Linked DNA regions of Anolis sagrei. The protein of the gene in region 2 interacts with the protein of the main gene of each other region in a pairwise test. Links are inferred from orthologs where the notes say so. Each region holds a gene or a part of one and is shown on either strand. Other genes may lie near its edges.

Region 1 (7,409 bases), about 190 Mb from region 2:
CTAAAGGACAGAAGCACTTGAATGAACTCAAATAAATATGAATTTGAATTCCCTTTATATGTGGATTTTTAAAATGTATATTGCATTTGATGTAAAGATAAAGGTTTCCCCTTGACATTAAGTCTAGTAGTGTTCAACTCGGGGGGGGGGGGTACTCTAAGCCGAAGAGCCGGCTTTGTCAGTAGACCCTTCAACGTCATGTAGCCAGCATGTTTGGAGGCTCTAGCAGGGGAGCGCATATATTGTATACCCGGGACCAAAGACTGGAGACCTCGGTACACTCCTTCTATACCTGGGACATCATCCTCTTCCACCGAGTGCATAGCTTCAGGAGGGATGCACATGGAGCAGTGAGGGAGGAAGGGGACACCCGCCTAGCCAGCCAGATCAGTCGAATCAACCCTGACAATCAGTGGGGTGACAGATGTTGCAGCCAGATTGCCCTTACATCCGGGATGACTGCATGGAGCATCATTACCTTCACATCTGAGAGGTACCTATTGATCTACCCACATCTGAATGTTTTTGAACTGGTAGGTTGACAGAGGCTAACAACAGGAGCTCATCTTGTCCTGTGGATTCAAACCACTGACCTTCCAGTCAGCAAGTTCTGCAGCTTTGCGGTTTAACCCGCTGCACTACTGTGGCCCCTTGCATTTGATAGGCAACGTGAATTCCATGTTTATGAATGGCCACTTTTTGAACGTAACCATTGGTACTTTGGCCCTTTAATTCCCTCTCCAACCTCACTGTCAATCATTCCACCGCCAATGAAGTATACCTGAAATTCTGGATAAAACTCCATGCATGTAATGACTTGTAGGTAATGGCATAATACATCTGTTAGCTCTTTAGCAATCACTCAGCTCAAAGACCATAGAAAGATTTCACATCCAAAATGCTTTGTTATATAAATTTTTTTAAAAAAACTTTTAATAATAAATGAGAATCCTATATTTTATGCCCAATCTACTAGTATCCAAAGTCTGGGGGAAATGATATCTTTGTGCTTACATATTAACTTGTCCTCAACCCATGACCAACTTTTCTCCTGCCATTACAACATTACTGATTACAACAAAAATTAATCAAGATTCTTTTGGTTTACGGGGATTTTTCAGATGATGATTTACTACTTCTTCAGTGGTGAGGAATATTCTTCCAGAAGTAATCCAAGCTATAATCTGCTTTGCTTATATGTGGTTTCAAGATGGGTCATGGCTACTTTTCCCTGCTGGGTGAAACAGTGACTTCATGGGCCCATCTACACTGTCAAATTAATGCAGTTTGACACCCCTTTATCTGCCATGGCAGAGTCCCCGGTGGTGCAGTGGGTTAAACACTTGTGCTGGCAGGACTGAAAACTGACAGGTTGCAGGTTCGAATCCGGGGAGAGCGCGGATGAGCTCCCTCTATCAGCTTCAGCTCCTCATGCGGGGACATGAGAGAAGCCTCCCAGAAGGATGATAAAACATCAAAACATCCAGGCATCCCCTGAGCAACATCCTTGCAGATGGCCAATTCTCTCACACCAGAAGCGAATTGCAGTTTCTCAAGTCACTCCTGACACGACAAAAAAATAAAAATAAATCTGCCATGGCTCAATGCTATGGAATTTGAATAGCTGTCCATTTAATGAGGCACCAGCACTCTTTGGTAGAGAAAACGAAAGGTCTTGTAAAACTAAATTGAGCCACGGTAGGTAAAGTGGTGTCAAACCGCATTAATTCTCTCGTGTAGTGGCATCCAACAATAGGGCTTCATTAAGTAGAATTAATGCATTTTGACCACTTTCACTGCTGTGGCTCAATGCTACTAAAAGATTACATCTGTAGTTTGGTGAGGCACCAGCACTCTAAAGACCTGGTGAAACCAGAACTCCCAGGATTCAATAACACTGAGTTATGGCAGTTAAAGTAGTACCAAACTGCATTGATTCAGATAGGTTCTCCCTGGGTCAATTATGCAAGAGGTTTGGACTGTGTTCCAGAGCAAGGACTTACTTTGGAGCAAGGACTTACTTTGGAGAAACCATGCATGGCTGCATGGTTTCTCCAAAGTAGCAAGATATACAATCACAGCATTCACAATCCATATGCACTGTTTGCTAGAATCCTGCTTTTGTTGTGCTACAGACAGACATCTACATCAGGCTTGGGCAAACCTTGGACCTCCAGGTGTTTTGGACTTCAGCTCCCACAATTCCTACCAGCTGGTAGGAATTGTGGGAGTTGAAGTCCAAAACACTTGGAGGGACAAAGTTTGCTAAAGGCTGATCTACGCTGTAGAATGCAGTTAGGCACCACTTTAATTACCACAACTCAATGCTTTGGAATCATGGATGTTGTAATTTCACCAGACCTTGCGCCTTCTTTGGCCAAAAGTGTGCTGATACATCACCAAACTACATATCCCATGGTAACAGCATTGAGACATGGCAATTAAAAGTACTGCCAGATGGCATTAAGTCTACAGTATAGATGCACCCTACTATCACGCTGATCTAGGGGTTGATTTACACTGTGATTTACAAGTCACTTTACCTGCCATGGCTGTGGAATCCTGGGAATTGTAGTTTCGTGCAGCAGCACTACCCTTTGGCAGAGAAAGCTACAGAGCTTGTCAAACTGCCATGGTTTGATAGTATGGAATCATAAGAGTTGAAGTTTTGCAAGGTTTTTCGCCTTCTCTGCCAGAATGCAAGTGCTTTACCAAGCTACAATTCCCAGAATCCCATAGCATGGGTCTTTCTCTGGCGACCCTTACCTGAGCGTGTTGAGGGGCGGGTTGCAGACCCTGATCACGCGCACGCCTCGCAGGACCTGAGCCATCGTCGCGCGACCAGCCTCGGACGCCCCAGGAGAACGCTAGACTTGATTGACGGGCAGCGAGAAGGCGAGGGAGGAGGCGGGGCCTCTTGGAAGCGGAAGACCCGGATGGGCAGGCGCGCAAATGGGTGGAGGAGGCTTTCTGCTGGAGCCCAGACTCTCGGTTGAATTTTAACCAGGATGAAGGCACCCACCCTGCAGACAGAGCCTTGGAGTGGCTGGAATCACGTAAAAGGAGATACACCCGAAATCAGTGGTTCTCAACCTTCCTAATGCCACGACCCCTTAATTCAGTTCCTCATGTTGTGGTGACCCCCAACCATAACATTATTTTCGTTGCTACTTCACAACTGTCATTGTGCTACTGTTATGAATCGTCATGTAAATATCTGATATGCAGGATGTATTTTCATTCACTGGACCAAATTTGGCACAAATATCCGATTCGCCAAAATTTGAATACTGGTGGGGTTGGAGTGGGGATTGATTTTGTCATTTGGAAGTTGGCGTTGCTGGGATTTATAGTTCACTTACAATCAACCTACAATTCTGAACTCCACCAACGATGGAATTGAACCAAACTTAGCACACAGAACCCCCATGACCAACAGAAAATACTTGATGGGCATTGACCTTGAGTTTTGGAGTTGTAGTTCACCTATATCCAGAGAGCACTGTGGGTTCAAACAATGATAGATCTGGACCGAATTTCGCATTAATACTCAATATGCCCAAATGTGAACACTAGTGGAATTTGGGGGAAATAGACTTGATATTTGGGAGTTGTAGTTGCTGGGATTTATAGTTCACTTACAATCAAAGAGCATTCTGAACCCCCCAACAATCGAATAGGGCCAAACTTCCCATATAGAACCCCCATGCCTTGAAGGGACTCACTGGCATGAGCCTTCCTCCAGCCTCACATGCTCTCCATGCCTGTACATGTGCACCACACTGCCATGTGTGGAGCATGCCTGCTCTCCGCTCTTTGCTTGGAGTCTTAGAAACAGCCCTTCCCTTGGCTGAGAGGCCAGCCAATCATAGAAGACGAGAGCTTTTGGTGGGAGGATTCTCTGTCTGTTTCCAAAAAAGAAGAGAAGATCAGGTGGAGAGATCCTCAGCCTTCTCTGCCAAAGGGGTTCTATAAATCCACAAAGGGGGATTTATAGTTCACTTACAATCAAAGAGCATTCTGAACCCCACCAACAATAGAATTGGGCCAAACTTCCCACACAGAACCCCCAGGACCAACAGAAAATACTGTGTATTCTGATGGTCTTTGGTGACCCCACTGACACTCCCTCATGACCCCCCAGGGGTTCCGACCCTCAGATTGAGAAACACTGCCCTAAATCCTATTATTTTCTACACAGAGCCAGCTCTCACTGTTATTAGGAGGCATCTGCCCTGTAGAATTAATGCAGTTTGACAGCACTTTGACTGTCATGGCGCTCTTTTAGTGAAAGAGGCGAAGGACCTTATAAAAATGCATAGCACTGCACGATTGCAGTTATTAAACTGCAAGAGGAACTGTGTTCTTATCATACATCAAGAGAACCACTGATTGAATAGGGAAGCTGTTGAAAAAACACAACCAACAAACCATCTACAGACCCACTAAGAAAATCCAACAAATGCTACATTCAGCAAAGGACAAGAGATATCCTCTCACCTCTGCAGGAGTCTACAGTATACCATGCAGTTCTGGACAAATCTATATAGGGACCACCAAAAGCAATGCCAAATACGCATCAATAATAATATAACAGAACTTTATTTATATATCGCCCTATCTCCCTTAGGGGACTCAGAGCGGTTTCCACATATGCAAAATAATACAAAAACGTGCAATATGAAACAAAAACATAGGCATAAACTGTTAACACAGCGTATACATTAAAATCAATTTAAAAATCACTCTCTTCTTCATGCAAGGTAAGCTGCCAGGAGAACAGATTTCAATAAGGGGCCTGGACTATTTGGAACGGGCTGGGTCAAGGCTAGTGCAAGGAGAAGAGAAAAATGGGGCCAGCTAAATGCTACAGTACAAGGATCAGTCTCAGCAATGGCCCTACTAGGGAACTGGGGCCACTCAATTCCAGGGCCAATTAAAGGTCTATAATAAAAGGTATTGGCTGGAAGAAAAGGTGCCCTCAAATGACAGGGAACTGGGGAATGGATGTGGTACAAGGCCAAGTCCTAACTGTTGGACCAAGGGCTTGAGACTTGTCATTATTGAAGGCCTGATGAAACCACCAAGTCTTCAAGTTCTTACGGGATGGGGCCAGCCTTATCTCCTTGGGGAGGGCAATCCAGAGGTAGGGGGCCACCACCGAGAAGGCCCCTTCCCTCGTCCCCACCAACCGGATCAAGGAACATGAAACGCACTGCAGACTACTTCAACCAGAGAAGTCAGCCATAGCAGAGCGTTTGATGAACCAACCTGGACATCCTATGAGAACACAGAAATGCTGGACCATTGTAATAACTACCATATGAGACTACACAGAGAAGCTATTGAAATCCACAAGCATGTGGACAATTTCAACAGAAAGGAGGAAACCATGAAAATGAACAAAATCTGGCTACTAGTATTAAAAAAAACTCTAAAATTATAACAGTAAATAAATAACAAAACTCAAACACAGGAGAACTCCAGACAAGAAACAATCAGGAACACCTAATCACCTCTCAACAAAGGATTTTCTCAAAAAAAAAAAAAAGGATTTTCTCAGGCAGTAACAAGCCACACCTAAAAACTGCCAGGCCATTAAATGTTAATCATGGTGGCCAATGGAAACATTCCACCTACCTCCAACAGACAAGAGTTCTTTCTCCCACCCTGAACATTCCACAGATATATAAACCCTATTTTTCTAGTTTCCAACAGACCTCACAATCTCCGAGGATGCCTGCCACAGGTGCAGGCAAAATGTCAGGAGAGAATGCTTCTGGAACATGGCCATACAGCCTGGAAAACACATGACAATCCTGCATTAATTCTACTGTGTAGATGCATCCTCAGGAAAAAAGAAACTGCACAATCACTTCTCTATTCCATGCATCTTCACTATAGAATGAATGCAGTTTGGCATTGCTTTAACAGTCAGTTTCAATGCTATGGGGTCATGGGACTTCTAGTTTTACAATGTCTTTAGTTTGTTTTTGTTTTTTTGCCAAATGGTGCTGGTGCCTCACTAAACTACAACTCCCAGGACTGTATAACACGAAGCCATGGCAATTCAAGTGGTATCAAGCTGCATTAATTCTTCAATGTAGATGCACCCTAAGAAAACTTTATGACATTCATGAAGTTCACCATAAAGCAGCATGTGATTGCACATACACATATTGGCATTTAAAATGGTCTCTGATGCACACACTCCCAAAAAGAAAATAGCACAAATGTTGTACAAAAGTGGCACACACTGATTTAAATGCAGACATAACAATTTAAACAGAACCAAAGCAGAATTTTTAATGGAAAGACCATGATTCATGTTCCTGCCACATCAGCTCCTACTTGCTGAGGAGTTCTTTTTTATAAATGATTTCAAATTATTTTTTATTTTCCTCAATCTGATAGTTCAACTGCTTGTTCTTTCTGGGTGATGTTACTAACACTATGTAACAAAATTTGAAAAAAAAATATGTTCCTGGTTTGAAACTGTTATTTCCTGCTTAATTGTGTTTTACTTACTTCGAAAGTAGTTGTTATACTCCAGAAACTTCATTTTTGTGGCTGTCATTTTTAACCTTTCAATGTGCCATTTTTAACCTTTTGTGCAGACCGCAAAAACAAAGCTTTTCCAGTTTAATAAACTTTACCCATGTTTTTATGATAGCACCAATGAGGAAAATGACATTTATAACCCAGGAACAAAAATCATGTTACATAGTGTAATCAATTACATACAATATTGAGACGGTTTTAAACAGGATTTTAACATTGAGTTAAGTGATTCTAATGTTTATGTATATGTATATTTATGTCCCGGCATTGAATGTTTGCCATTTATATGTTGTTCTCCGCCCTGAATTCCCTTTGGAGTGAGAAGGGCAGAATAGAAATGTTTTAAATAAATAAATAAATAAATATCTGGTTTTTTAAATAGAAGAAAATGGGTGTGTCTGTGTGTAATTTTACTCAGCTCTGTGCTTAGCATTAGCCAGCTGTTCAGCTATGAAGTAAACAAGGACATCAGATTATAGATAAAGCACACTGTGTTTTCAAGGGACAGTGTGTGTGTTGGTTCAGGCTAGGACTGACAAAAGATGTGACTGACCTCAATTTATATGAGTGCAAGCTACAAATCCCACCATGGCACTATCTTTTCATAGTGGTAGGATTGTGTGCTTCTCTGAGGCTATGCTGACAGTAGCAGTGCTGCCGATAGGGTCTTTCGTGTTAGACAGCCTTTTGCTGCAGAGCCAGACAAAATGTGCCAAACAGCTGCTGGGCAACAGTAGGTGGATTTCTGTGACACTGGTGGACAATCTCTCAAAGACAACAGTAGTAGCATCAGATCTAATGCTTGTTTGTACAGCACTGAGGGAGGCATGGTAAATCCCTTTCAAATG
Region 2 (6,855 bases):
TCCAGATGTTGTTAGACTATAGTTTCCTAACCAGCATAATAATCAATGATAAAAATGCTGGTAATTGTAACCCAACAACATCTGGAGAGCCATGTGATTCTCACTCTTAATTTAGATTTAAGCAAACTGTTTCAAAGCAGCAACAAAAGCTGCTATTTATGGAAATGTGGGAATTTATTCTGCAAGGCATCTTGGAAAGGTTACTCCTTTGGGCTACAACTCCCTGAAAATCTGTCAATCTGCTTCACTGCTTAAAAACTTTAAATACTTATTCCTCACTAAAAACAACAACAACAACAACAAAAAACAATCTTCAGTACAGTCTTTACTCTTCATCTTGGGTGAACATTAAAAGCGGAGTCATTTGGCTTCTTTCATTTCTCTGAATTTTGACCTGATTAGGCAGTACTCCAGTGCACAACTGCCCTAGCAATAATGAGAAGGGTTGCTCCCAATTTAATCACTACATGACTGGACACACCACCAGCTACAGCAGAGCGCCCATTCTGCAAGCAAAACTATGTTCTGAATCCATATAGCCTTTTTGTATTTCTTGTATCAGATTAAACTCCTGCTGTGATAAGATGCCCAAGCAGATTTGACTCCTGTTTCACACGTTTTGACTCTTGCTTGACATTAGCAAGGACATTATCTTGTGAGTACAGAACTTGAATTTTTCCATTCAACTTACTATTTTTTTCCCTGGTAAAGCATTCCAAAAGGCTGAAATTGGAAGCATTTACACTTTGAAAGGTCCTTGTTTGAGTCTGAATAGCAAACACATGCTTTTGGTGAAGTTGTTTCCAATGCCTTCTTTTGTCAGCTGGGCAGTGAATCTGCTTGAACTGGGATTTGAAAGGAACTCTCCAAGGTGCTGAACCTATTTTGAGACTAAGGTTCAGAACCATGAATAGCTCCTTTAAGGTGGAGTAGGCGGTTCATTGCTACACTGTCATGTGAGCTAAGAGTTGCCAGCCATTCTTTATCCCAGAATAAATGTTCTCTCAGAATGCCATTGACAGAACTTGAAAGTAGCTACTTACAAGTAACTATTTGTAATGAATTGTCAAAGGCTTTAATGGCTGGAATAACTGGTTGTGGCAGGTTTTTTGGGCTGTGTGGCCATGTTCTAGAAGCATTATCTCCTGACGTTTCTCCTGCCTCTATGGCAGGCATCCTTAGAGCTTGAGAGGTCTGTTGGAAATCAATTTGTAATTTGTAATGAATTTCTTTCTATAACAGTTAAAGTTTCAAGTAACAATTCTAATTTGATGAGACATAGCTTCATTCCTTTTACAATAGATCTGAAACTTTTAGGGTTATTTTTTGTTATAGGGTATGATCTCTCTAAATGGTGGAGGAGGAATATTATATAGCTGGTTTGTGATCAGTTGTCCCCAGCTCTGCTGTTATGTGGAGATGATGGTAGATGGGAGGAGACTCTATTTTGTATCAGAGGCTAGCATCCTGTAGCACCCGTATTAACACACACACACTCTCTCTCACACACCAATGTACTTTTCAATTACTTTCTAAGAAACTGTAACTTTGAAAAAACTATAACAGTAAATAGTAGCGCTTGAGTATAGTTCTTTAAATTCCACATTATGAGAAATGTTCTGATCAATCGAGCCAGATCTAGCACACAATGCCTGCTCTACCTCCAACCAACCTACTCAGGTCTTGCAGACTGAAGTCTTGAAGACTCTTGAAGACTCTGAAGACTTAAGTGACTGAGAAGGAAAAGGAATTGTGGGAGTTGAAGTCCAAAACACCTGGTGGGCCCAAGTTTGACCATGTCTGAGATATATTGAGCATGGTGATCAGATCATGATATGAATAAACATGGAGCTGCTCCATTCACCCTGTGATATGGATATGGAGAGGGGGAGAATGGATAGGAGCACATATGAGATAAGGGCCATCTGGACTGGGGGGAAACAAAACTGTAAGATAACAATGATGGGAATGAAATGTAGCCAGTAGGAAGGGGAATGGGTTAGGGTAATGATATACAAAGAATTTGGTGGGGAATCTTCAGGACTGTCTTCCTATTGCCAATGGTAAGACAGAAATAAAGCTGTATCCAAGGATTTGCCTTTGTGGATGTGCTCTTATTCCAAGAGCTTTCAGGTTCTGACAGGTTGGAGGTAGAGAAGGCATGGGCCCTCCAGGTGTTTTGGAGTTCAACTCCCACAATTCCCTCAGCTGCTCTATCTCCAGCCAACCTACTCAAGTCTTGGAAACTCAAGTCTTGCACACTCTTGCCGACTTAAATGGCTGAGGGGAAAAAGGAAAGGGCACAAGGCTGTTAGGAATTGTGGGAGTTGAAGTCCAAAACACCTGGAGGGCTGGAGTTTTCCCATGCCGGTGATAGAGTGACTTGGAAGTCTCTTATTCATGGGGTTACCATAATTTGGATTGGTGGCAAACAACAACAACAACAATGCTATTATCTCCAACCAAGCTACCCAGGTCTTGCAGACTCAAGACTATGACTTCTTTGACTGATTCCATCTATGTGTAATGTAGCTTTCCTCTTTTACTACTGCCTTCTACCGTGTTGGTGAGTAGGAAAAGAGATTTAAATATGGGCTCAAAGCCAACCTTAAAAACTCTGGCATAGACACTAAGAACTGGGAAGCCCTGGCCCTTGAGTGTTCCAGCTGGAGGTCAGCTGTGACCAGCAGTGCTGTAAATTTTGAAGAGGCACAGATGGAGGGTAAAAGAGAGAAACATGCCAAGAGGAAAGCGCGTCAAGCCAACCCTGACCGAGACCACCTTCCACCTGGAAACCAATACTCTCACTGTGGGAGAAGATACAGATCAAGAATAGGGCTCCACAGTCACCTACGGACCCACCGCCAGTACACCGATCTTGGAAGACAGTCTTACTCGGACAACGAGGGATCACCTAAGTAAGTACCTTACCAAGTATTATTATAATTTTTTTATTGAGTTATGTCCTTTCATGATATGACCCAATCTCCATTTAGTCACCTTGGCATCTAATTTTCAGCCTTGATTTGCTGTAGAACCCATAGATTTGTCTTTTTTGAAGTCCACGTAGCTTTCCTCTTTTCCTACTGCTTTCTACCTTACCAAGTATTATTATAATTATTGTCGAAGGCTTTCATGGCTGGAATCACTAGGTTCTTGTAGGTTTTTTCGGGTTATAGGGCCATGTAGTGAGGTCTACCTCTGAGGATGCTTGCCATAGATGCAGGCAAAACGTCAGGAGAAATGCCTCTAGAACATGGCCCTATAACCCGAAAAACCTATTATTATAATTTTCTATTGAGTTATACCATCTCATGATATGCCCCAAACCCCACAGTCTCTGTTTAGTCACCTTGGCATCTAATTGATTTGCTGTAGGTCCCATTGATTTGCCTTTTTAAAAAAGACCACAGTCTCCCTAGGAGCATAATTCCCCATTTCCAAGGTGCACACACCCTTCTCTTTCACAACCCTGAAACACTCCCAAAAACTCCTACATTCGCTGCCATAGCAACTAACCCACACAGATATGGGCCATATTTGGACTCCCATCTGTCTTTGGGAAGGGAGGGGGTCCTCGCAAGTGGAAGCAGCCTTTCTCTGCTTGTTTGTGAGCCCTTCTGCCCTTTCCAGCCTCCATTGGGGGGTTGGAGGGGATGGCCCTAGTGGTCTCTCTCAACTCTATGAGTCTGTGGGCTGATTGGGCGACGGATGGGCCTCGGATCCACACATCCTCCATGAGGAAAGCCCAGGCGAGAGGCGACAGGGATGGTTCAATAGTCCTGGATGGCCGGGAATAACCTCCCAGTCCGAGGGGACGGGAGCGCACAGCAGTCCGGGGAGAGGCTTTCCCTTTGCTGCCGGCGGAGGGCGCTCTTGCTCCCCCATTTGGACGCCGCAGTGGGGAGAAACAACCCACGGAAGGAGCCCAGCGCTTTGTGTGAGTGTGGGATTGCGCGCGTATATAATATGAGCTCTTCCCCAACATCCCTCTCCGCCGGAGCTGCTGCCACGCGTCTGGGCGGGATGTAATCTCGAGTGGGAGGGAAGGAAGGAGCCACGTCTCGGAGGGGAAACCGAGGGGGAGGTGGGCGGGGAAGGGTGTGTGCGTGCGTGTCTTCGGGTCCCTTTGTCCTGCCGAGGGGAGGACAGCTCCGTCGCAGAGCCAGCAGGTAAGTCGCTGCTCTTCTGGAGCATCCTTCCTCCGACTTGGGTCTTGGGTACCAAAGCTGGAGCAGGTCCTTCTGGCAAGGTGGGAAGCAACTGCGCGTGGGACTTGGAGCGGGGGCCACTTCAGGGGTCTTTCCTTCTGCCCATTGGGAGGGTAAGGGTTTGGGGAAAGTGCTGCCTTCATGCCGGGGAGCCCCTCCCAGCCCCTCCGACTCTTTCAAGGGAGATTGGATTCCTCCTGCGCAAGTTTTGGAAACCCTGCCCTTGAGTGTTTTCCTCCTTCGCCTTCAGCCACTTGCTATCCCAGAGGGGAAGCTTAAGACTCTAAATTAGCCGAATAGACACCGAAAGGCAGGCACAGAAGCAAAACAACCCCACGCCTGTCTCGCCCCCTCCCTTCCCCTCCGCACATTGTCCCTTGCCATCACTCACCTATTCTTCCCCAGTTTTCTCTCTCTCTTCTGAACGGGACAAGAAGGCGGTGGCCCTTTGCACACCAGCCTGTTATCTCTTCTTAGCATCCATCCTCGTTGTCATCCCCCCTCTCCATGTCTTTGTAGAGCTCTCTGTGTATTGAGTCTTTTTATAGCAGAGGAACCAAACTGAGGAGCAGGATTGGATTTATTTTTTTGTAATGTCAGGGGTGACTTGAGAAACTGCAAGTCGCTTCTGGTGTGAGAGAATTGGCTGTGTGCAAGGACGTTGCCCGGGGGACACCCGGATGTTTTGATGTTTTACCATCCTTGTGGGAGGTTTCTCTCATGTTCCCACATGGGGAGCTCAAGCTGAAAGAGAGCTCAAGCTGAAAGAGAGCTCATCCGCACTCTCCCCAGATTCGAACCTCTGACCTGTCGGTCTTTAATCTTGCCACTGCACCCCCAGGAGCTCCTAATGGGTTTGGTCATCAGAAAGCTCTTTCCAGTTGTCCTTTTGGACTGCACAAGAGAGAGTTGTGCATCTGGGTGATGATGGGGAGAGGGAAGGAGGTTGATGAACTCTTATATACCTTCCTTTCTGGCTGCAACAGGCACTAACTTCAAATGTTTACCTGCAATATATGTGTATGTTGTTGACTTTACCCATGCTGGTTGTTTACAGATGTCACATGCTACGCTGGTCAATTGGCTGGCTTGTGTTCTATATGTTTTTCAAATCACGCATTTTCCAATGTTGGAAATGAAGATCAGAGAGTGGTGGTGGCTTGAAAAGGCTTTGCACAAGTGACTTTTCCGTGCTTTTCTCCAGAGATAATCTCCCAAAGGATGTATTGCATGGATCAGTGTTGTCGAGCTTGGAGGTGGGAGGAAGGTGGAATAGAGACTGGGATCAAGTGGTAGATTTACAGATGATTGGTACTGAGATTCCAATGCACAGTGATTTCATAATCGCAGCATGAAAAGACTTCCAGATTTGCCTGCCGAGATGGAAGAAAGCTTGGGCAGGGATCCAGGAGTGGGTTTGCATATGACATGCTTGTGTGAGCTCAGTGCTGGTACTGAAAACAAATGTCAGGGTAGTACATGTGCCCGGAGGCACTCCACCCTCTTCGTTCTAATGCTTGCTATACAATTCTGTTGTCTCCCCCAGTTACCCACAAACTCCAGAGCCATTGTTTTGCACCAGGATCCACTTGGTAGCCATGTCTAGGGCACAATTCTGGTAGATCAACAACAAAAACAAAGTAGACTCTGTAGCCCTGAAGTCTGAGCATCCCATCTCAAATTTCATCATAGTGATATAGTGCTAGCTCTACACAAGCTGCTGTTTTACAGTTCCAGTGCCCATTCTCACCTGACAGATGGGAATAATATTATGTCTTGATCTATCTTCAGTGTTGTTGCATTATTATTGAAGTCATGTCTATAAAACACTACATACTTCCTTTTCTCCTCTCTGTTATTGTTGCTGCTGTTATTTGAAAATGCCAATTAACTGCCTGCAAGTATTTTTCCTATCATAACAACATACATTGGAGCAGCTGCTTCATACTCCAACTCAGGAAAAATAGTTTTGCTGTCCTTCCCATATCTTTTAATTTATTTTATTTATTATTTATCATATTTATACCGCGCCCTTCTCTCCCCAAAGTGGACTCAGAGCGGCTTTACACATAGGCAACAATTTGATGCCATCAAAACGACATATAGTTAAAATAAACAATTACATTAAAACCAAGAAATCAAACATCTAAACATTATACCAACTGTGAAAACCACGCAATCCACAATTGTAGTCCAGAGCCATTCCAGTAGTCATTGCACATATTTTGTATCCATTTATTGCACTACAGTTGTTATCTGAAGGCTTGGTCCCAAAGCCATATTTTTGCTTTCTTTCTGAAGGCCAGGAGGGAGGGGGCTGATTTAATATCACTGAGGAGGGAGTTCCACAGCCAGGGGTCACCACTGAGAAGGCCCTGTCTCTCGTCCCCACCAAGAGCACCTGCAAAGAAGGTGGCAAAGAAACCAGGGCCTCTCTGGTCAATCTTAACCTCTGTGATGGTTCATAGAGGGAAATACATTTAGACAAGTAAGCTGGACCAGAACTATTTAGGGCTTTATAGGCTAAAGCCAGCACTTTGAATTGTGCTCAGTAGCAGACTGGCATCCAGTGCAGCTTTAACCCCCCCCCCCCCCCCCACAAACAAGCAAGCAGACCTCACAACCTCTGAGGATGCCTGCCATA
Region 3 (7,288 bases), on a different chromosome or scaffold from region 2:
CAGGTGCAGTCTTTTCATCAATGATGCCGTTTTCGTGCCCCACAATTATTGTATTAATGGCATACAGAATGTAAAAGAAAATAGCAAAAGAGAATAAAATGCATATAATACAGGTATGCCATTCCCCCATAACCTCTGGTCCCACTCTGCGAAACAAATATCTAAAAAAAACAACCTCTATTCTTGTCTTTGCATTCATAAATGTTCTGAGTTTTCTTGACGCTGCAGAACTTATGAAGTTCTTCCAAAGAGGGCAACCAATGATTCTCTATGCAGTAGTGGTGACCCTTTGGCGTGCCTTCCTATCTGTCACTGTGCAGTTATCAAGTCATGCGCAGATATAGTAGGTTAGGGCAGTGGTAGAAAGTCATCCACAGTTTTTCATTCAGTTGTTGGTTCCTTAGACATCTCAGGTAGTACAGTCTCTCCTGGGCACTCTTAACCAGCGCTGCTGTATGGGTGTCCTAGCTCAGATCCTCCTTAACAGGGATACCCAGGAACTTAAAACTGGCCACCCATTCCATTTGGTCCCCATTTATGACGAAGGGCTAAATTTCTGGTCTGTTCTTTCTGTAGTCTACTATGAGCTCCTTCGTTTTATTGATTTTAAGAACCAGATTATTGTCCCTGCACTAATGATTCCAAATTTCGGTGTATCTCAGATTTCCGAATCCTGGATAATAATAGTTCAGGAGGATACAGGTTTCTGTTTTGAGCTGTATCAAATACAATGTTATTAAAAACATCTCATTCTCCCTCAGGGCCCATCAACACAGCCATATAACCCGGAATATCAAGGCAGATAATCCACAATATCTGCTTTTAACTGAATTATCTGAGTCCACACTGCCATATAATCCAGTTCAATGTGGAAGGAACCTCAGTCCACAACTTCAGAAGATTCTGATGCAAATACAGCTTTATAGGACTTGTATTTAAAAAAAATATTTTACAGATTTGAACAAGAGTATCAAGGCTATTTCTTTATTTACTACTAGCTGTACCCACCACGCTTTGCTGTGGCCAACCTTCCCTCTTTCTCTCCTTCTTTCCCTCCTTCCTTCACTCCCTCTTTCCTTCCTTCCTTCCCTCTCTTTCCTCCTTCCTTCCCGTCTTTCCTTCTCTTCTTCCTTCCTTCTCTATCTCTTTTCTTCCTTCCCCCTTTTCCTTTCTCTTCTGCTGTCTCTCTTTTCTTCCTTCTCTCTTTCCTTCACTCCCTCTTTCTCTATATCTTCCCCGCTTCCTTTGCTCCCTCTTTCCTTCCTTCTTTCCCTTTTTTATTTCCTTCTCTAACTTTCCTTCCTCCCCCCCTTTCTTTCCCTCCCTCTTTCTTTCCTTTCTTCCTTCTCTACCTCTTTCCTTCCTTCCTTCTCTCTTTGCTTCCATGCTTCTTTCTCCCTTTCCTTCTTTCTTTCCCTTTTTTCTCCCCTTCCCTCCCTCTTTCTTCCCTTTTTTCTGTATTGTCTTTAGCTTTTCGTCATTTAGCTTTTTGGGGCTTTTTAAGTCCCTTCTGCTGTGTTTTTCAGTGTTTTTATGAGTGAAGGACATACATTGGGTTGTTAGGTGTATTGTGTCCAAAGTTGGTGTCAATTCGTCCAATGGTTTCTGAGTTCTGTTAATCCCACAAACAAACATTACATTGTATTGTCAAAGGCTTTCATGGATGGAATCACTAGGTTCTTGTGGGGGGGGGGGGGTTTGGGCTATATGGCCATGTTCTAGAGGCATTTTCTCCTGACGTTTCGCCTGCATCTATGGCAAGCATCCTCAGAGGTAGTGAGGTGAGACAAGAGGGATCCTCTCACCTCTGCAGGAGTCTACCGTATACCATGCAGCTGTAGACAAGTCTACATAGGGACCACCAAACACAGCGCCCAAACACAAATCAAGGAACATGAAAGGCACTGCAGACTACTTTAGCCAGAGAAGTCAGCCACACCAGAGCACCTGATAAACCAGCCTGGACACAGCATATTATTTGAGAACACAGAAATGCTGGACCACTCTCACAACCACCATGTCAGACTACACAGAGAAGCCATTGAAATCCACAAGCATGTGGACAATTTCAACAGAAAGGAGGAGACCATGAAAATGAACAAAATCTGGCTACCAGTATTAAAAAAACTCTAAAATTACAACAGCAAAACAGCAGAGAGAAAACAACCAGGCACATCTTAACACCTCTCAACAAAAGATTCCCCAAGGCTCAGCCAGGCCTTCAAATGCTAATGAAGGCGGTCAGTTGAAACATTCACACCTAGCTCCAGCAGAGAAGAGCTCTTTGCCTCACCCAAGTCATTCCACAGATATATAAACCCATTTTCCTAACTCCAACAGATCTCACTACCTCTGAGGATGCTTGCCATAGATGCAGGAGAAACGTCAGGAGAAAATGCCTCTAGAACATGGCCATATAGCCCGAAAAAACCCACAAGAACCTGAACATTACATTGTTATTTATATAGATATTTCTTTTACTATACTTGTATACCGCCTTTCTCAGCCTATCGGCGATTCAAGGCAGTATTTAGAACACACATCCTCCCATTTTCTGGGCCTCCAACTCCCAGAATTCCTCGCTACTGATCAAGATGGCTAGGGCATCTGGGAATTGAGACTCAAACAGCGGGAAGGCCGTAGTCGGAAGATGCCTTCCCTAGAATGTGTTAGGAGTGTCAAGTGCGGGCTTTAAAGCGCTTATCTCAAGTCAAGAAGTGCAATACAAAGCCGCTGAGGAGCCGGGCCTTTCTCTCGGCGGCGTCCCAGAAGCCAGGAGCCCTTTCCCGCACCCGTTGGGGGCCTAAAAGCGGAGCCACACCGGAAGGCCCGCCGCCCTGCTCTCCCTGAGGGCCATTACAGCTCCTCGGGACAGAAAACCGGGCAGAAAAGGCCTTCCTTGCCTTCTAAATCAAGTCCACCACTTACCCCACTGCCGGACGCCATCTTGCCTGTGAAGCGTCCCGGAAGCCGGAAAACGTCGCGCAAACTGGGGCCTGCCGTAAAGCGTACTTCCGGTTGGTCCTTTCTAGCCAGAGCGTCCTCACCCAAGCTGCAGCTTTCTCTATGCTTCCTGGGAAGCCTTTTCGCTCAGGAGAGGTAAGGAAAGGACGTGTCTTAGAGCGTGTTTGTGCCTCAGAAAGGAAGCTTATAGCTTTGCCTCGAGGGTGAGGCAGACAGAAACCCTTCAAGCTTTTAGCCTTCACGTGTTTCTCTTTCAAGTGAAAGCACAGCCTTGCTTCTGGCTCCAACTCCCAAGTCTGTCTGTGCAGCAAAAGGTCCTGGAGGCCTAGTGGCAGGTGCCCTTCTACACAGCCCAGAATATCAAGGCAGAAAATCCCACAGTATTTGCTTTGAAGTGGGTTATCTGAGTCCACACTGCCATATATTCCAGTTCAAAGCAGATATTATGGATTATCTTCTTGGAGAATGGGAGAAGTTCCAGCACCAATGTGGTCCCAATCTTCAAGAAGGGAAAAAAGGATGACCCAAAGAATTACCACCCGGTCAGCCTCACGTCGATACCAGGCAAGATTCTGGAAAAAAATGTTAAGGAAGTGGTTTGCAAACACTTTGAAACAAATGCAGTCATCGCTAATAGTCAACATGGATTTATCAAAAACAAGTCATGCCAGACTAATCTGATCTCTTTCTTCGATAGAGTTACAAGCTGGGTAGATGCAGTGAATGCCGTGGATTTCAGTACCTGGATTTCAGTAAGGCCTTCGACAAGGTCCCCCACGACCTTCTGGCAAACAAACTAGTCCAATGTGGGCTTGTCAAAACTACGGTGAGGTGGATCTGTAATTGGTTAAATAGACGAACCCAGAGGGTGCGCACTAATGCTTCCTCTTCATCCTGGAAAGAAGTGACGAGCGGAGTGCCACAGATTTCCGTCCTGGGCCTGGTCCTGTTCACCATCTTTATTAATGACTTAGATGAAGGGTTAGAAGGCAGGATCATCAAGTTTGCAGACGACACCAAATTGGGAGGTATAGCCAATACTCCAGAGGACAGGAGCAGGAGTCAAAACGATCTTGACAGATTAGAGAGATGGGCCAAAACTAACAAAATGAAGTTCAACAGTGACAAATGCAAGATACTCCACTTTGGCAGGAAAAACGAAAGGCAAACATACAGAATGGGGGACAATGCCTCGCTCGAGAGCAGTATGTGTGAAAAAGAGCTTGGAGTTCTCATTGACAACAAGTTAAACATGAGCCAACAATGTGCTGTGACGACAAAAAAAAGGGCCAATGGGATTTTGGCCTGCATCAATAGGAGCATAGTGTCTAGATCTAAGGAAGTAATGCTACCCCTCTATTCCACCTTGGTTAGACCACACCTGGAATATTGTGTCCAATTCTGGGCACCACAATTCAAGAGAGATATTGACAAGCTGGAATATGTCCAGGGCGACTAAAATGATCAAGGGTCTGGAGAACAAGCCCTATGAGGAGCAGCTTAAGGAGCTGGGCATGTTTAGCCTGAAGAAGAGAAGGCTGAGAGGAGATATGATAGCCATGTACAAATATGTGAGAGGAAGTCACAGGGAGGAGGGAGCAAGCTTGTTTTCTGCTTCCCTGGAAACTAGGATGCGAAACAATGGCTTCAAACTACAAGAAAGGAGATTCCATCTGAACATGAGAAAGAACTTCCTGACTCTGAGAGCTGTTCAGCAATGGAACTCTCTGCCCTGGAGTGTGGTGGAGGCTCCTTCTTTGGAAGCCTTTAAACAGAGGCTGGATGGTCATTTGTCAGGGGTGCTTTGAATGCAATATTCCTGCTTCTTGGCAGGGGGTTGGACTGGATGGGCCATGAGGCCTCTTCCAACTCTATGATTCTATCTCCCCAAGGGGACTCAGAGCGGTTTCCAAGTAACATAATCAATCCATACAAATAAAACAGCATAAACATAACATTAACAAGACAATATAAGCATTAAAAACCACAATAGCACATATATTTAAAATAATCCTGCCTGTTCAAGGAAGTTTAAAAGGCCGGGCCAGTGCAATTTTAGAGGGCCCAGGAAATTAGGTAGAGTCTATGGTCATACATTTCCAGGGCCTAATAGAAGAAAGTGACCTGGGTAATTGGAAGAAAAAGATATGGCCAATTTCAACAGTATCTGGGTTATAGCTAGAACTAGTTATTCTCAAAGGTTTGTTTAAACCACCAAGTCTTCAGGCTCTTACAAAAGGAGGGGAGAGATTGAGCCTGTCTTATTTCTCCAGGAAGGGCATTCCACAGGTGGGGGCCACCACCGAGAAGGCCCTCTCGTCCCAACCAACCGTGCTTGGAGCGAAAGGAGGGCCTCCTCGGAAGATCTTAAAGTTTGTGCCGACTCATCGTTAACGACTCATTGTTAAGAACGGGGAGGGGGGAGGTGAGACAACAGGAAGTGAAAGAAATCTACCGCCAGGAAGGGAAATTCACTCCTAGAAGAGTTACCATGGAGAAAAGGGGTATCCAATGAAGCCTTCCAACCAATCCTTGTTTCCACAACAAACCATTTTTTTTCACACAGCCATATAACCCAAAATATCAAGGCAGATTATTTCACAATATCTGCTTTGAACTGGGTTATCTGAACCACATTGCCATGTATTCCAGTTCAAAGCAGAAAATGTGAGATTTTATTCAGCTGTATGGGAGGATCTCCGCCATTAGTCTGTGTGACTTTGCAAAATAGTTTTCTCATTGTTGGATTTTATGTCTTGCTTTTTCTCTCTGTTCTTCATGCTGGATACATCACAGATGCATCTTTCACTGATCAGAATGCAAAGGCTTCCTCTCCTGTGCTGCTCTGAAGATTTGATATGCCCAGTATAGGAAACATTGCTGGCAGATGCTGTTGAAACTCCTCGACATGTATTGGATAAGCTTTTTCACAAAGGCTCTGTATAGGAGACAGCTTATGCCAACGCAGTTTTGGGTTCAAAGGACACTTTCCAGCCATCTACCGAACAAGGTGCATCTCGTTTACCACAATTCTTCTACAACTCTTGTAGCTTTGAGTTTAGAAGTTTCTTCCTAGCAGCATTTTGGAAATTTACAAATAAAAGCCAAATTAACCTGCTATTCAAGCTTCTGCGGGGTTGGGAATGGGCTGGAACATTGCCACCTTTAGAATGTTAAGAATTTAGGACTTCTTGAGATCTTAATCTGTCCTTACCATTTTGCACTGATATGTCAGCTGTCTTATATTAATTGAAATCTGTAAAACGAACATAAAAAAGAGTTATTCATATTTCCAATGTAGTATTACATTTGTCTGTTGCAACAAAAACAACAAATGATCCTGTGCTGCATCAAAGCCTAACAGATATATTACAGCCTAATCATTAAGGAATTATAGCCCACTTTATCAAAGGCATACTGTCTTACCCAGAATTTCGAGTAGATTTAGTACACATGTTTGAGGATAGCACAGTAGACACTGAAGTCAGAAAGAACTCGCATGTCCATGTTATAATACATGTGTTGGTCTTTAAAGTGCCATGGCATCCTTTTTATCAGATTTGCTTTGCTCTCAGGTGACTGAAGATGTGGTAAATCAACCATCGCCACAGCTGAGAGATGCTGGAGGAAGAGGAAACATAATTCTCAAAACCCCCAAGGTAATAGCCCATCTGTGTTCTGCTTCCTCTTCCAGAGTCCCCTTCGAGCACTGCTTAACTCTGGTACTTCCTTTAACGGAACAAGCCGTACCATCATCCTTCCAGATGATCTTATAGAGCACTCAGCCCCTTTACCCCATTAGCTTAATCTACTGCTTTTTCAATTTTCCCCTCTCTTCCAATCATTTTCTATTATTTTTAGCAGTACTTGATTCTCGTTAGAAGATTTTTTGGCACAGAATCAAATGCTTAGTATTAAACAATTGAAGCATCTGGAAGCCCTTCAGCTGTTGGCTGCTGTTACTATTTCAGCTGTGTAGTTTTCATCAAGCGTTTCTTTTTTTAAAGAAACATCTCTTCTAAACCCCCATCTTTTCTTCGGTGTGGACTTTCAGGGCACCAGGGATTTCAGTCCAAAGCAGATGGCCATCCGTGAAAATATCTTTGCCACCATTATCAGCTGCTTCAAGCGCCATGGAGCTGTGACGATAGACACCCCTGTGTTCGAGCGGAAGGTGAGGATGGATCAGTATTATTTTGGAAGTGCTAGTGGCCTTTTTGTCTGACAAGAGCTTCACATTTCTAGAGTCTTTTTCTGCTAAAGGCTGAAATTCTACACAAAGGCTGTTTTAGTTTTATTGATTTCAACAGAACCATAGCAACTT
Region 4 (7,683 bases), on a different chromosome or scaffold from region 2:
AACCTGTGGGTCCCCAGGTGTTTTGGCCTACAACTCCCAGAAATCCCAGCCAGTTTACCAGCTATTGGGATTTCTGGGAGTTGAAGGCCAAAACATCTGGGGACCCACAGGTTGAGAGCCACATGTTCTAGTCAATTATATTCCAACTGGCTTCAAGTCTCTAAGTTTGCAGGTAAACAATTAATCTGTTTTTTCTCCCAATCAATATTAGTCAATTAGCTGTAGAGGATGCTTTTTCTGTCAATTTATAATTTGACATCATTAGTCCATTAAAAACCAACGTAATCCCATTCCTTCAGTGGAATTCTGTTTCATAATTGCATATAATACAAACAGTGGGAGTGAGGCAAAATAATAAAAGAAGTAACAGGTAAGCTGGACCCAAACCATTTAGGGCAGTAGTTCTCAACCTGTGGGTCCCCAAGTGTTTTGGCCTACAACTCTCAGAGACCTCAGCCAATTTACCGGCTGTTGGGATTTCTGGGAGTTGAAGGCCAAAACATCTGGGGACACACAGGTTGAGAACCACTACACAAGAGGGAACTAGGGGAAATTTCTCAGCTTTTGTACCAACTTTCCACATATCGCTTAATCCCAGGAACAAAATCAAACAAAACAAAAACCCTAAAAGGGCTCCTCTACCACTAATTTTTCAACCATAAACCAAGATTTGGTCCTTTTGGGCTCACCTCAGTGGTGGGTTCTTATTCATGAACATTTCAATGGCTTTTTCATCCTCAGGATTCACAGTCATCTCCTCACAATACTCTCCCTTCTCCATGGCTGCAGCTTTCTCCAGTGATGGCCATTCCTCGTCATCTGTATCTGAACCTCCATCCTTTGAGTTGGAGCCTAGAAGAGGCAGGTGAAAATTAGCTCTACATGTTTAGCAAAACAAGCAATTGCCTTATTGCCCCTGATCTGAAGAATTCCTGGGGACGATGGCAGCTGTACCAACCTGGAGAATACCAGAGTGGGATCCTAAAGTATAGAATAGGTTCTTATTGTAATCAATGGGATAGTGGTCAAAAGGGTTTTTTTCCAGCTGCAAAGAAGAACTAGTTATGGACATGCATTGAAAATGCATTGTTATCCTTAGCTTCACTTACTTTGACTTTGACCACGCATGGGTAAACTTGGGCCCTTCAGGTGTTTTGGACTTCAACTCTCACAATTCCTAACAGCCTCAGGCCCCTTCCTTTTCCCCCTCGGCTGCTTAAGACACATGACCTTGGAGGCGTACGGTCTTCGGCTTAGAAATGGTGATGAGCATCATCTCCCAGAGTTGGGTACGACTAGACAATGTCAGGGGAAACCTTTACCTGTATAGTATTAGATCTAATTTTAATAGCAACTCCCATGCTACCAGAAACTACAGAAATTGCCATTTATCTATCCCATGACTTAACAGAGAGTCTACTGCAGGGGTCCTCAAACTTTTTAAACAGAGGGCCAGGTCAGAGTCCCTCAAACTATTAGAGGGCCGGATTATAATTTGAAAAAAAAAAAACACGAATGAATTCCTATACACTTAAAAACAATACAATAATTATAATGAAGAACAATTTTAGCAAATATAAACTTATTACTATTTCAATGGTAAGTGTGTGCCTGCTTTTAGCTGATGAGATAGGATTGTTGTTGTTGTTGTTGTGTGCTTTCAAGTCATTTCAGACTTAGGTAGACCCTGAGCAAGGGCCGGGTAAATTACCTTGGAGGGCCGCATCCGGCCCCCGGGCCTTAGTTTGAGGATCCCTGGTCTACTGTATATGGTTGAAACATCTTATGGCAATGCTATGAAAATACAGTTAATATCACCCTTAGTTCATTTACTTGGACAAAATATAGTAGACTCTGAGTTAACCACAACTCAAGCAGCCAGAACTCTCGGGTAACCGGGGGGGGGGGGGGGGATCAAAGAAATAATGTTGTTGAAGGCTTTCATGGCCAAAATCACCGGGGCCCCTTCCACATAGCTGAATAAAATCCCACATTATCTGGGATATATGGCAGCGTGGACTCAGATAAACCAGTTCAAAATAGATATTGTGGGATTTTCTTCCTTGATATTCTGGGTTATATGGCTGTGTGGAAGGGCCCTGGGTTGCTGTGAGTTTCGGGCTGTAATGGCCATGTTCCAGAAGCATTCTCTCCTCACATTTCGCCCACATCTATGGCAGGCATCCTGAGAGATTGTGACATTTGTTGGGAACTAGGCAAGTGGAGTTTACAGGCTTTGAAGCTGCAAGCCCATTCAATGTTAATCAAGGTGACCGATTACAACATTCACACTTGCCTCCATCAGACAAGAGTTATTTCTCCCACTCTGGACATTCCACAGATATATAAACCTCACTTGTCTAGCTTCTGGAACATGGCCAGACAGCCCGGAAAACTCACAACAATCCAGTTAAACAAAACTTTTGCTGTGTTTTGTAACATAACCAATTGGGAAATGACGTTTACAACCCAGAAACAAACATTGTGTTACACAGTGTGATAGAAAGGCAGAGTTAGGCCTATTTTTATTACTTGGCTGTACTGAAGGAGTTGGGGATGATGGCAGTTGTAGTCCATCGCATCTGGAGGATGGCGGGGTGTTTGGTTTGTTTAATCCCAGGATGGGCTTAATAATGTGATGTCACGTGCTTTTTGCCCACTCACCCAGGACGGTGGTCTTCCTCTTGGGCTCCTCTCTGCCGGAAAGGCCATGCTCGGCCTGCAGCTCCTCCTGCTGGATCCGCGCCTGCTCCAGGATCTTCCGGGAGAGCCGCTCGTCCACGTACTTCTCCTCCTCCTCCTCCTCCTCTTCTCCTCCCGCTCCCCCGCCATGCAGGCCGGCTTTGCCCCTCCGCTTCACCCGCCGACTGGGCTTCACCGCCTCGCCCTGCAGGATCTGCTCGGCCAGAGGCACGCTCACCCCGGCCGCCGAGGAGGCCCCTCGCACCCGCTTCTCTTTCGGCATGATCGCCCAGACACGTGGGGGAGAGGAAAGGCTAAGACGCATGCGCCGGAAAGAGAAGGCCAGAAAAGGGGCGGGGCTTGCGACCGCAGGGGCGGAATAGATATAGAGCAGAGCTTTCCCAACTTTTCACGCTTTTGAGACCAATCAGGCGTGGGCAAACTTGGGCCTTCCGGGTGTTTTGGACTTCAACTCACACAATTCCTAGCAGCCGGTAGGGCTCAAGTTTGCCCACATCTCTAATATTTTGCATATACATTTGGAAAATTGTATATGCAAAATATCAGACAGATGGAAAGCTATTTAACCTCAGCAGACTGAAAGCCAAAACCAAGGTGACAACATCTATTACAGAAGTCCAATATGCTGATGATAACATCGTCTGTGCACATTCAGAATTTCTACATGCCACTCTAAACACCTTCGCAGAAGTATATGAAAAGCTTGGCCTGTCATTGAACATCGAGAAAGCCAAAGTGCTCTTCCAGCAGTCACCAGCCAATCCCTCTCCAATGCCAGAAATATAGCTTAATGGTGTAACATTAGAAAATGTTGATAATTTCCACTACCTTGGCAGCCACCTCCCCACAAAAGTCCACATTGACACTTAAATACAACACCGCCTGAGCTCTGTGAGTGCATTTTTACGAATGAAGCACAGAGTGTTTGAGGACTGGGACATCTTGAAAGCATGGCTATTTCAGTGTGCCTTCCCTGAATAAAGGAAACAATGCCCTAATTTGATCAATTTTCTGCAATATGTCCTCTGAAGCACTACCCGTTGGATTTATTTCCCTACATTACTCTCTAACCGCCCCACCCCCCGTTTAGATACCCTACTTCTGTTCACACCCAGTATTTTAAAAATTTAATCTACTACATCCGGCCTTTCCCACAGTCTTTTAAATCTCTTGTGTGTTACTGCTTATATGTTATTTATGATATTGTACTGTGTTTTATTTGCTTGCTTGCCTTGTTTTCTACTGATGTATTTTGTTGGGCTTGGCCTCATGTAAGCCGCCCGAGTCACCTTGGGGAGATGGTGGCAGGGTATAAATAAAGTTATTATTATTATTATTATTATTATTATAAACTAGCTGTCCCCTGCCACGTGTTGCTGTAGCCCAGTCTGTGCATATGTGTTTTGTGTGTGTGTATATATGTGTTTATGTATGTGTATATATTTGTGTATATAAGTGTGTGTATATATGTGTATTTATATGTGTGCATGCATATTGTGTATATGTGTGTGCTTGTCTATATGCATATTTGTGTGTGTGTGTGTGTGTGTATATATATATATATATTATTTATTTTATTAATCAATTTTATATACTTCCACTCGCCGAAGTCTCGGAGCGGTTTACAATATACACAAGAAAAACTTTGATCAACAAAATTCAAATGCCACCCTAAATAAATAAGTTTTACAAGCTCTACGAAAAGCAAGTAAATCTCGGAGAGCTCCTGTTCCTGCTGGCAAAGCATTCCATAGATAAGGAGCCACCACCGTGAAAGTTCTACGCCTAGTAGACATCAGGTGAATGGTCCTAAAATTGGGAACTTCAAGGAGATTCTGATCGTCTGAACGAAATATTATGTGGATATGTATATGTGTGTGCATGTGTATATGTATATCTGTGTGTATCTGTGTGTATGTGTATGTATGTTTGTGTATATGTGTATATCTGTGTGTGTTTGTGCATATATATATGTGTGTGTGTATGAATGTGTGCATGTGTATATGTATATGAGTGTATGTGTATCTGGACACATTGACAAGCTGGAATGTGTCCAGAGGAGGGCGACTGGAGAACAAGCCCTATGAGGAGCGGCTTAATGAGCTGGGCATGTTTAGCCTGAAGAAGAGAAGGCTGAGAGGAGACATGATAGCCATGTATAAGTATGTGAGAGGAAGTCATAGGGAGGAGGGAGCAAGCTTGTTTTCTGCTTCCATGGAGACTAGGACGCAGAACAATGGCTTCAAACTACAAGAAAGGCGATTCCATCTGAACATGAGGAAGAACTTCCTGACTGTGAGAGCCATTCAGCAGTGGAACTCTCTGCCCCGGAGTGTGGTGGAGGCTCCTTCTTTGGAAGCTTTTAAACAGAGGCTGGATGGCCATCTGTCAGGGGTGATTTGAATGCAATATTCCTGCTTCTTGGCAGGGGGTTAGACTGGATGGCCCATGAGGTCTCTTCCAACTCTATGATTCTGTGTATATGTAAATATGGTATTTTTGGGGGGGTTTTAAGTCTGTTCGGCTGGGGTTTTGTGTGTGTTTGTGTGTGTGTTTACAGGTGATGGTCACACGTTGGACTGTTAGGTGTATTGTGTCTAAATTTGGTGTCAATTCGTCCAGTGGTTTTTGAGTTATGTTAATCCCACAAACGAACATTACATTTTTATTTATATAGATGAAATACAATTTTAAACCTAAATATACGTATATATAAAGTAGATCTTAGGAAGTTGTTTCTTGATTTAAAACGTCAATATGCTGGCTGATATCCGAACAGAGGATGGGCCGGAGGTGTCAATACTTTCCTCCCTACAGGAAAGCCTGGCTCCACTTTCTTTTGCTGGATGGGCAATGCAGGACCACCTGAGTTGGAGGTGGGCCTGCATTGCCTGCTCCGGCCGCCAGGGGGCCGCTTCCGAGAGGAGGCGGCGAGGACGACACTCGCCCGCATTCCCCGCGATGACGTCACTTCCTTTCGGCGTTCTTCCCTCCGAGGAGGCGAGGCTGTGTGAGGCTCCGCGAAGACCGCCGGGCAGAGGGCGCTGAGTGAGGCTGAGAAGTCTTGGGCCACCTTTCCGCCCGGGTTCACGCCTCCCCCGCGGAGGAGACAGCCGAGGAAACATGGGTGTCACCTGGTACGGCTTCCCAAGGCTGCTGTAGCCTTAGCCAAACATTTTACCTTGAGACCGTTGCATGTTTTTGCTTCTCAGTGTCGGCCAAGATGGAGGCCTGCTGCGATTGTGCTTGGATGTACATTCGTTTCAAGAATGAGGGGTCGGGTATGGAGTGTAACGTGTGAACGAGCGAATGACGAGTGTCAGGGGCAGGAGAGGGACCTGGTGACAGGTAGGGTTACTACAGGCATGGGCAAACTTCGCCCCTCCAGGTGTTTTGGACTACAACGCTCACAATTCCTAACAGCCGGTAGGCTGTTAGGAATTGTGGGTGTTGTAGTCCAAAACACCTGGAGGGCCGAAGTTTACCCATGCCTGAGTTACTAAATCTCCTCAATGTAATGCCAGGGGAGTATCTGCCCCTCATCCGAATTGCTTGGCGCCAGACAAGTTTGCGATTTCAGGTATTTTTGTGTGTGGGATTTTTTTTTTTTTGCATCGCCTAATTGCTAAGCCTAATCAAACCAGTCATTTATGTTTCACGTACACATAACATGTATATGAAACATAAATGTTGTGTTTAGGCTTGGCTCCCATCTTCAAGGTGTTAGTAAATAAGATATTGACACCACCTGCATGTAACACAGGTATGGAGAAACCCACGCCCGGGAGCCGAATGCGGCCTCTTGGACTCTTTTTGCAGGCCCTCCTCTCGCTCACCATCCTATCCTTCCTTCCTTCCCTCTTTCCTTCTGCCTTTCCCCCTTCCCTCCTACCCTTCCAGTCTTCTGTCTTTCTTCCCTCTTTCTCTCCCTCTTTCTCCTTCCTTCCTTCCCTTTTGTCACAGGGAGGAGGGAGCAAGCTTGTTTTCTGCTTCCCTGGAGACTAGGACGCGGAACAATGGCTTCAAACTACAAGAGAGGAGATTCCATCTGAACATTAGGAAGAACTTCCTGACTGTGAGAGCCGTTCAGCAGTGGAACTCTCTGCTCCGGAGTGTGGTGGAAGCTCCTTCTTTGGAAGCTTTTAAACAGAGGCTGGATGGCCATCTGTCAGGGGTGATTTGAATGCAATATTCCTGCTTCTTGGCAGGGGGTTTGACTGGATGGCCCATGAGGTCTCTTCCAACTATGATTCTATGATTCCTTCCCTCTTTCCTCCCTCCCCGCATTCCCTCCACCCTTCCTTCCATCCATCCTTCTCTTCTTCCCTTTTTACCTTCCTTCCTTTTCTTTTTCCTTCCTTCTTTCCTCCTGGGGCATGTTTACCTGGGGGAAGAGAAGGTAGAGAAGGAACATGAGAACCAATTTTCAAGATCTAAAAGGGTGTCCCATTGAAGAGGAGGGGGAAAACCAACTTTCTGCTGCTCTAGAGACCAGAACACAAGGAAGCAATGGGTTCAAATGGCAGGGGAAAAGATTAGGAAGAATTCCTGAAAGTAAGAGCTGTTGGAGAGTGGCCTAGGCTGCCTGGGAGTGTGGTAGAGTCTCCTCTGGAGACTTTTCCGCAGAGGCTGTCTGTCGGGAATGCTTTAATTGTGCCTTCTTGCTTGGCAGGGGGTTGGACTGGATGGCCCTTGAGGGTCCTTTCCAGCTCTAGGATTCTATATCAGGAGTATGCAGTATGGGGTCTAATAGATACACTTTTTCCTCTCGTATCCACCTCATCCTGACCAAGGCTAACCTTTTGGGATCCAAATGTTTCCCATCTTTCCTTTGCTTTCTGCCTCCGAAAGAGAAGAGGAAGGGGAGGAAAGGGCAGGGAGGGGACTTGGAGAGAATCCCCCTGCTCCTGGCCTGCCCACCCTGCTCCAGCCTGCCATGAGGCCCCCAAGTTAGAAAGTTTGCCCATGCCTGATGTAACA

The links.
Region 1: the proteins of MTUS2 (region 2) and EHHADH interact in binary tests that used the Homo sapiens proteins (3 or more experiments, as listed by UniProt). The link is inferred for Anolis sagrei from reciprocal best matches to the Homo sapiens genes MTUS2 and EHHADH.
Region 3: the proteins of MTUS2 (region 2) and ZMAT2 interact in binary tests that used the Homo sapiens proteins (3 or more experiments, as listed by UniProt). The two-hybrid records come from large-scale screens. The link is inferred for Anolis sagrei from reciprocal best matches to the Homo sapiens genes MTUS2 and ZMAT2.
Region 4: the proteins of MTUS2 (region 2) and bystin interact in binary tests that used the Homo sapiens proteins (3 or more experiments, as listed by UniProt). The two-hybrid records come from large-scale screens. The link is inferred for Anolis sagrei from reciprocal best matches to the Homo sapiens genes MTUS2 and BYSL.

Annotation. Positions count from the first base shown.
Region 1 is NC_090023.1:222,668,699-222,676,107, forward strand, and holds the start of EHHADH (peroxisomal bifunctional enzyme), read right to left. Parts: upstream 3,016-7,409; 5' UTR 2,832-3,015; coding exon 2,767-2,831; intron 1-2,766. UniProt on the Homo sapiens protein: Peroxisomal trifunctional enzyme possessing 2-enoyl-CoA hydratase, 3-hydroxyacyl-CoA dehydrogenase, and delta 3, delta 2-enoyl-CoA isomerase activities. Catalyzes two of the four reactions of the long chain fatty acids peroxisomal beta-oxidation pathway.
Region 2 is NC_090023.1:31,862,114-31,868,968, forward strand, and holds the start of MTUS2 (microtubule-associated tumor suppressor candidate 2), read left to right. Parts: upstream 1-3,842; 5' UTR 3,843-3,940; intron 3,941-3,950; exon of another isoform or gene 3,951-4,172; intron 4,173-6,855. UniProt on the Homo sapiens protein: Binds microtubules. Together with MAPRE1 may target the microtubule depolymerase KIF2C to the plus-end of microtubules. May regulate the dynamics of microtubules at their growing distal tip.
Region 3 is NC_090024.1:136,398,330-136,405,617, forward strand, and holds the start of ZMAT2 (zinc finger matrin-type protein 2), read right to left. Parts: upstream 3,016-7,288; 5' UTR 2,947-3,015; coding exon 2,929-2,946; intron 1-2,928. Other genes in the region: histidine--tRNA ligase, cytoplasmic-like, read left to right, coding at 5,852-5,974, 6,540-6,623, 7,019-7,138. UniProt on the Homo sapiens protein: Involved in pre-mRNA splicing as a component of the spliceosome.
Region 4 is NC_090024.1:191,064,449-191,072,131, reverse strand, and holds the start of bystin, read right to left. Parts: upstream 3,016-7,683; 5' UTR 3,008-3,015; coding exon 2,665-3,007; intron 853-2,664; coding exon 690-852; intron 1-689. Other genes in the region: MED20 (mediator of RNA polymerase II transcription subunit 20), read left to right, coding at 5,827-5,840. UniProt on the Homo sapiens protein: Required for processing of 20S pre-rRNA precursor and biogenesis of 40S ribosomal subunits. May be required for trophinin-dependent regulation of cell adhesion during implantation of human embryos.